Linked DNA regions of Schizosaccharomyces pombe. The gene in region 1 interacts genetically with each later gene. Each region holds a gene or a part of one and is shown on either strand. Other genes may lie near its edges.

Evidence for each region.
Region 2: of met17 (region 1) and cys11, changing one enhances a phenotype caused by changing the other (phenotypic enhancement), as found in Schizosaccharomyces pombe (one study listed by BioGRID).

Annotation. Positions count from the first base shown.
Region 1 is NC_003423.3:463,316-467,764, reverse strand, and holds met17 (homocysteine synthase Met17), read right to left. Parts: upstream 2,386-4,449; 5' UTR 2,133-2,385; coding exon 843-2,132; 3' UTR 518-842; downstream 1-517. Other genes in the region: SPOM_SPBC428.10 (uncharacterized protein), read right to left, coding at 4,204-4,449. UniProt on the Schizosaccharomyces pombe protein: Catalyzes the conversion of O-acetyl-L-homoserine (OAH) into homocysteine in the methionine biosynthesis pathway. Can also use O-succinyl-L-homoserine and L-homoserine as substrates.
Region 2 is NC_003423.3:845,646-849,985, reverse strand, and holds cys11 (cysteine synthase), read right to left. Parts: upstream 2,067-4,340; 5' UTR 2,002-2,066; coding exon 1,869-2,001; intron 1,724-1,868; coding exon 801-1,723; 3' UTR 501-800; downstream 1-500. Other genes in the region: class 1 histone deacetylase Clr6, read left to right, coding at 1-91, 132-240, 288-346, 398-477.

The DNA.
Region 1 (4,449 bases):
ATACTCAAAATATCATTTCATAGTGCACTAAGGGAATTTAAGCCCGTATATTCCGTAACGTTATGTTAAAGTAATAGGGTAGGGTTTTGTGACCTGTTGTGACTGCTCAATTTTACTATAAATGGATGTACAAGAGTTTACCATTCCCCATCTTTGTGCACGGGTATTACGCTTATCAGTGAGGAACTTTTCCTAGATGGCGTTATTGCTAGTTGAAAACTATTACCCTGACCGCTCCAACTCTCGTTAAGAGTTTTGGGAATATTTGGAAACCAACTTATTGCAATAACTCATATGTTTACAATGTATGTCTTTAGCAATTTGGTGGTTTTTTATTTTTTGTAAAATTAATTTTATATGATTTTGTGTATTTTTTATTAATGAAAGCACCAGTGAATTTCTGCTAATAGTAATAATGTGCTTACCGAAATAAGGAGCTAAAAGCATTCAGTAATCTTTTGCTAGGCAGAGATCAAGATAACGTAAATTTTGTTATATAATATGTTACGCTTTCCTTGTTTTATAGACCTGTTAGCCATTAGTAGTGCACAAGTGTTATAAATAGTCATTGTTTATTACTTGTGAATCTGAATCTAAATTACCAAGAGATCAAACCGAAAAATGATTTATTTCATAGCGTAAACTGAAGTGTGAAATGTAAAGTCGGGTATGATAAATATATCTAGCTTTCTGTTGAAGAGAACACATTAAAAGTATTATAATGGATAAAAGAGAGAAATATTTTGAGCAGATGTGGGAAAACATACAAAAACTCAATCGATATTTGTGAAACATTACTATGTATTTTACAGGTAAATAAAAAGATATACAATGAGGGCTTTTTAGGCAACTTCCAAAGCTTGAGCAAAGTCGGCGATAATATCATCGATGTGCTCAATACCGACGGCCACACGAATAAGATCCTTAGTGACACCGGCAGAAATTTGCTCCTCATCAGTTAATTGTAAATGAGTGGTATAGGCAGGAGCGATAACCAAAGTTTTGGCATCACCAACATTGGCCAACTGACTAGCAAGCTTTAAGGCATTGACTACCTTACGACTTTGATCAGGGCCACCTTTAGCGCCAAAGCTGAGAACGGCGCCGTAACCATTTTTCAAGTACTTCTTGGCAAGTTTGTGAGAGACGTGAGATTCAAGACCAGGGTAAGAAACCCAGTTAACCTTGGGGTGCTTTTCCAAATATTTTGCAAGAGCAAATGCATTTTGAACGTGACGCTCCATACGAAGAGAAAGCGTTTCAAGACCTTGAAGAAGCAAAAAGACACCGAATGGATTGGCATTGCCACCAACATCACGGAGAGTTTGAGTACGGCAAGCAAAAGCATATGCCAAGTTACCAAAAGTTTCAGTAAAGACCATGCCATGGTAACCGGGATGAGGCTCGTTGAATTCAGGGAAACGCTTGCTGTTCTTCTTCCAGTCAAACTTACCACTATCAACAATCACACCGCCAATAGTAGTGCCATGACCACCGATCCACTTAGTGGCAGAGTGGGTAACGATATCGGCACCGTGGTCAATGGGACGAACCAAATAACCACCGCCGCCAAAAGTGTTATCGACCATTAAAGGCACACCAGCGGCATGAGCAACCTCAGCGATACGCTCAAAATCGGGAACGTTGTACATGGGATTGCCGATGGACTCAACGTAAACAGCCTTTGTGTTTTCATCAATCTGAGCTGCAAGATCATTAGGATCATCACCATTGACAAACTTGGTAGTAATTCCCAATCTAGGCAGGGTAACCTTGAAGAGGTTGTAAGTACCACCATAAAGGTAAGAAGTGGAGACAATGTTATCACCGGCCTTAGCCAACGTGGTCAAAGCCATGAAGAGAGCGGAAGTACCGGAACTAGTAGCGATTGCAGCAGCGCCATGCTCCAAGGCGGCAATACGTTTCTCAAAAACGTCGGCGGTGGGATTCATCATACGCGAGTAGATGTAACCTGGTTCCTGTAATCCGAACAAGCGGCCGCCATGGTCGCAATCACGGAAAACATAGGAAGTAGTAGCGTAGATGGGAACGGCACGAGAGCTGGTAGCAGCATCAGGCTCTTGGCCAGCATGTAATTGTAAAGTTTCGAAATGTTCACTCTCGACTGGCATGTTGAATGTGAATGATCTTTATTTTGATGATGAGTTTAAAGTGCTAGTAAAAGATATTTAACAGTTTGCAACAAAGATCAATTTCAAAAAACCAAAAGCAGCAATTTAAAAGAGAAAATGACAAAAAAAAAAGGAAAAAAAAAAAAGACGAGTCGAAACTCAAAAAAATTTCAAAAGCTAATACAAGTGAAATGCAAACTGATACACTAGCGCTTATAAATTATTTTTCCTTGCTTTCAAGCTCTTAGCAGTCGAAAAACTAAGTGCCGATACCGCTCATTTTATAGGAAACACAGCGAAGAAGGATTAGGAAATTTCTGCTCGGAATTTCACCATCGCAATAAAATTTGTCGTGCTACTTCCGGCACAATTGTACTTAATCACATCAGATCTCTGTTGCCAATGATTTGCACGAAGACTTGTTTTTTACCTAAAATAGTCAAAACCGAACAAAATTTTTTATTGCAGATCTTTTCATAACGCCGACATGGAGAAGAGGGAAGATCATCCTTCAGGATCGCCCGTGCTGATTGCGAAAGTTAAGGTGCCGTATTAGCTGCAGTATCGTAATTAACGTAGTTTACTGAAACCACTTTTCGTACAATTGTGCTGAGCTGTAAAGTATGGGGAATTACAGTGTCGTGCACTAGAAGAGAATAGCATACAATACTAGCAATGCACTCTACATGCATTCGGATCCAGTAATGCATAGCGATAACAAACAATAGCATATTGCAAAATATCAAATTTAAAACAACTTTTTAACTTCTTTAAAGCTAAATTGCAAACAGTGCGGTATTCTGCGTTTTTGTGTTAAACAATGCATAAAGTAATAAATATACAAAGTTCTGTTCTTCATCTTCTTTGCTAGTAAGTGGTTAGAATTCGCTACAATGAAGATAACCGTGCAATAAACGAAGAAAAATAAAGAAGTGTAAATAAATAAAGCAAGTAATTAAATTGTTTTTTCACGAATAAAAAAATGGAAGCCTACAGCACCCCGGATTCCCATGTTGTCTCCAACCATAGTACTAACGAGGCCCTCAGACGCTTAACTGCAGTGATCGGACGGGAACTGGTGTTTTCGCCTAGGTATGGCCGTAGACAGTTGTTTGAATTAATTGTAAATTTTATAGCTAAATTAAAAAGAAATTGCAGTGACACCAGTTGTAATATGACACATTTCTGTTTGATTCTTCAATGTACAATGGATTGGCTCAATTTCACTTTTTGAAAAACTTTTTTTATTAAAAAATATAATGTTCATTGAGTATAAATAAAATAGAATTCTCGTATAATGAGTGAAAAAATTATTGTAAGATCTGCCCACACCAGGAATCGAACCTGGGTCGCATCGGCCACAACGATGAGTCTTAACCACTGGACCATGTGAGCTAGTTGATTATCATTTAATTTAAATCTTATATATACTGTATTTTAGTACAATTAGATATCTCATTACCAATCATTATAAAAATCATTAATCATCAAAGGCTATTATAATCACAACTTTACGTTGCAACTACTGTATAAAATTTCTACATTTCTTTAAAAAAAAATCCATGTGCTTTAACAATTTCATGGTTACATTCGCTAAAATCACCTTCACTTACGATTGTATATAGTATATAATCAAATATAATTATTATAAATAAGTTAAGTTTAGCAAAGACAACAATCCATGAAAGGAATAATAAATATCCAAATTGCCGAAATCAAATATTTACGGAGACAACTTGGTACAAAAAACCAGGGTATCATTTTCTTCAGCTTAAGCAGCGGTGTATTAGCGTTCAAGATAGACACGTAAATGAATGTAAATTCCGATACACATGAGGACCTTTTAGATATATAATTGTAAATGATAGCTAAATTTCCTTTCCCATTACCAAGGATCGAATTTCTTTCATAACGTCTTTGACAGTGCAAAGTTGTATAAATATAAGAGGGGATATGGAAAATAAATACTGAGCATACCATCATTTCTTCTCAATTATTGGTATGTCATTGAATAACTTAAAAGTAAACTAGGCACAACACAATTTTAACCACTATTGCGATGTCCCAGTTTTCAAAGTAAGCCATCCCTCCAAGAAGGAGAGCCATTGTGCGACCCATTCGTCAACATGCGATTTAAGAAATATTGGTCGCGAATGTAAGGTGAAGAAGTACTTGAGTAGATACTACTAGTCCGCATTCCTTCATTGAGACCCGATTTGTACTTCATAAGTGGAACCATAGTTGACGATTTCGGTGACTTGTTTGCGTACAATGGAGAAGCTTCGCTAGGAGAATATGTCATAGATTTGTGGACGCG
Region 2 (4,340 bases), 380 kb from region 1:
TGCGTTGGAGGAGGTGGATATACTGTACGGAATGTTGCCCGTGTCTGGACTTATGAAACTGGTCTTTTAGCCGGCGAAGAGCTTGATGAAAGTAAGTACCAATACGTAAATTGTTTATTAACCCATCCAAGACCTTCCTTATAATGACTATTTACAATATTACGGTCCCGATTACAAGCTCAATGTTCTTTCAAACAATATGGAAAACCATAACACTCGGCAGTATCTTGATTCGATAACGTATGCTACCTTTTGAGTTTTATTCTTACGAGGCTGACCAAATTTAGCTCTGAAATCATCGAAAATTTGAGAAACTTATCTTTTGCACCTAGCGTTCAAATGCATAGTAAGTATAAGCGGTTATCGAAAAATGTGCTAACAAATACTCTTACATTAGAAACTCCCGGTGACTTTACGTTTGAAAATGCCGAAAAGCAGAACATTGCGAAAGAAGAGATTATGGATGAGCGCGTATAGACCTATATAAAATTTTGTATGTTCATGGTGTTTGAATCCATTATACTCGGTTTTTTTGTGTTATTTGAATCATGAATACTATAAAAGCTATTATGTTTAAATACCCTTATTTATAAGAATTCTCCAGCATAATTAGACTTCAGCATTAAATTGAAAATGCTCATTACATATAATAACAAACACTTTATATTCTATACTCTAGATGTGACTTGTGGTTTTAAAAAAAAAGGAATAGCCAAAAAATTAACGCACAAAGAAAGAAGAAACGGAAATCACAAGGTAGTAGTAATTATATGTCTATCCGAAGTAAAAGGTCAAAACAATTAAGGAAGTACAATATACTTCTTGTATTGTGGCTCAATTACATCAAATAATTTTTTACTTTCAAGGAATGAGCGACTGAATAAACGAGTGGCATACTTGTGACCAGAATCACAAAGAATTGTAACCACCGTCTTGCCAGGACCTAATATTTTAGCCATTTCAACAGCAGCGACCACATTTAAGCAAGAAGAGCCGCCCAAGAAAAGACCTTCTTGGTCTAACAAACGAAAGAACATGTTAATAGATTTTTCGTCAGGGATTTTCATAGCATCGTCAATGAGATCGTAAACAGGTTGGACATTTCCAGTAATACGACCTTGACCAATGCCTTCGGTAAATGAAGAACCCTTGTTGTCAGGATGCTTACCCTTCGTTTTGATATGGCTATACAAAACACTTCCAGGGGGATCAGCCACGAAAGAAGCAACACGACCGTCGGACTTCTCCTTCAAATACTTGGTAACGCCGGCAAAAGTACCACCAGTACCAGTAGAGCAGGTAAAGCCGTCAACGGTACCTTTGGTTTGATCCCAAATTTCAGGACCAGTGGTTTCGTAGTGAGACAGTAAGTTAGCGACGTTATCGAACTGATCAGTCCAAGAAGCATTCGGAGTAGACTCAGCGTGACGACGGGCCTGATGGTTATAATTGAGAGGGTTGGAAAAGGGAGCAACAGGTACGGGATGAACCTCGGCACCCAAAAACTTAAGGGTATCGATTTTAGCTTGAGATTGGGTATTTGGCATGTAAATCACGCATTTATAACCTCTTGCTCTAGCAATGTGAGCAAGACCAATACCAGTGTTACCGGCAGTCCCCTCGACAATTGTGCCACCTCTAGAGAGTTTTCCTTTTTTCTCGGCATCGCGTACCACGTAGTAAGCAGCTCTATCCTTGACGCTTCCTCCGGGATTTTGGAATTCTTAAAAAATTTGCAATTAGTATACATGAAAGCAATTAAAAAGAAATAAAGGTATAGGATTGCCATTCAATTGAGAAACCTCGACGTTTCAAAATTGTTTAGCAAAACGAGACCCATTAAACAACGCCCTATATCAAAAACATACCAGCTTTGGCAAGGATATTGCATCCCGTCTCGTTCGACAGCGTATTCAGTCTAATTAAAGGAGTACGACCAATTGCCCCAATGAATCCGCTAACGATTCCTGGAACCTTCGTTTGAATACCGCTAGTAGCCATGTTGTAGTACTAACTGCGAATTACTGTATATCACAGTAATTTCCTCTAAACACTTGGGCGAAGGCAAAGAGCACTGTAGTAGGATAGGTGATATTTATGAAGAAGATGACGCGATCGTCACGCGGAATTCAAACACCGGCAAATAGTGGAATTCGCAATTCTTTACTTTAATGAAGAATTTAAAACTACAGAAAGTCGTACGATAAGGCGTCCATTGTTAAAATTCTTTATCAATGTCTTTAATGGGATGTACGGATGTGATATTGTTAAATGTGTTTAAGTAATTGTAACGAGGAATGCAAAGATGGGGATGGAGGTGAAAAGGACATAGAATGAATAGCGTATTATAAGGGTTATTATTTGAGAAAGGTTTTTACGTTTATAATATTTATTAATTGGTTAATTTTTATTTATTTTATTTTTACGTTTATTAATTTTTACTCTTTTAATTTTTTTTATTATTTTTTTTTTTTTTACTTTTTTTTATTTTTTTACTTTTTTTTATTTTTTTATTTTTTTTTTTTTTTCTATTGCGTTGTCAAATTTTTTTCCTCAAGCATTTTATTCCTACTAATATTAAAAATTGTACGGCTATGTTCGACTATATCGACACAATGGCTACTCGTTTGAACGCTTGCTGTTTGATTGATTTCTAGTCTATTAACAAGAAAATCACATTTCAGTAACTCCTTGATTGTCGTTGCGTATAAAGAAAGCAAAGTAAGAGAACATTGGAGGTTTCCAATAAATTTTTTACGGAATAACTATTGAAAGCGTTTATTTGTATATTATAAAACTATTATTTTTTAAAAATTGTTTGTTATATGACAAGTGTTGTTGTCATGATCTTTTGATTTCATAATGAAAACTTATAATAGCGAAATTCACAGATGAAAAAAAATTATCCGCTATATCTCGTAATTTATTGCCTTTTGTCAGCAATACTACACTACGCTATGATACACTACGTTGCGTATCACTATATGTCATATGTTCTAATTATATATCGTACCATGTATGATACGATATGGAGATTAATCTTGATGATAATCTATTAAGATCTATATTATCTGAATACTATAAATAGAGCTACCACTGAACTGAGGAACGAGGTTCAGTTATGAGCTATATTAGTGATAGGTAACATTATAACCCAGTTAATACAATACCTATACTCAGTTGCTACTTATACAACCTGTGTATTGTAATATAAATAGACCACAAGGAAAACTCACCGCAGTTCTACGTATCCTTAAATCAGATACCAAACTGCGTAGCTTACACCTTTGCGTTTTTGTGTATTTGTAATTCTAACTTTACGAACTCGAATGAAATCTAGTGCAATATAAGAGTTGCAAAAAATAAATAATAAATTTACACAAGAAGGAATAAATGAATTAGAGAAAGAGATGAAAATGTTTAGCTAGTTTAACTGCTCCAATCCTTTTTTATTTCAGTTACTTCAACACACTATTATTTATTACTTCTTTTTAGCAATATTCACCCGCTTAACATCATCAGCAACACTTTCCGTACCATCCCTTTCCCCGGCAAAACCGAGCTTTTTGGATACAAAAACCGAACTGGGCTGGCAAAAGCAAGCCATGGCATACGTAAGTATTAATGTTTATTTTACCTCCAGTTACAATATATAAATACAGGTAGTCATGTTACAATTAAAACCGATTCGCATCCCAGCTCGCATGCTGAAAACACAAACTTGAATATGTAGCCCTTATAAGACGGGTGTGTTATTTTGTCTAGAGAGAAAAAAGAATCTATATTAACGGGAAAAGTAAAGAAAATAAGGATAAACAAGGGTTATTAGCCATTAATATCAAAATAGACGGAAAGAAAAAATAAAAATAAAAATATAATGAATAAATAATCAAAACGATAAACAAAATGAAACGCAAAACAAAAATTAGCAAAATGATAAACAGGATAACCTTTTACTTTCCACTCCCCACAAAAAAAAAAACAGAGATTTTCTTTCTTTCTTTTGCAAAACAACTGTTTGAGAAAGCACTTCTATTATTCATACCTCTCTCTTCCTTCGATTCTTTTTTTTTTGTTTACTTTCCGGCATCCATTAAAGAGATAACCCACTATGTTGCATGGCGGAATGCGATCCAAAAGCGCATTCGAGTGTTGCATCATAATAAGGTAATAGTGTAACGATCTTTAGCGCATCCTTGTTTTATCTATATTTTCCATTTTAGATCCGAAACTGCATAAAAAGAATCTTTTCGCATTCCGAAATAGACTCCCAATGCAGATTTAATGAACAACCAACAACATCTTAATTCACAGGTATAAGTGGAAAGACTGCCACCAGA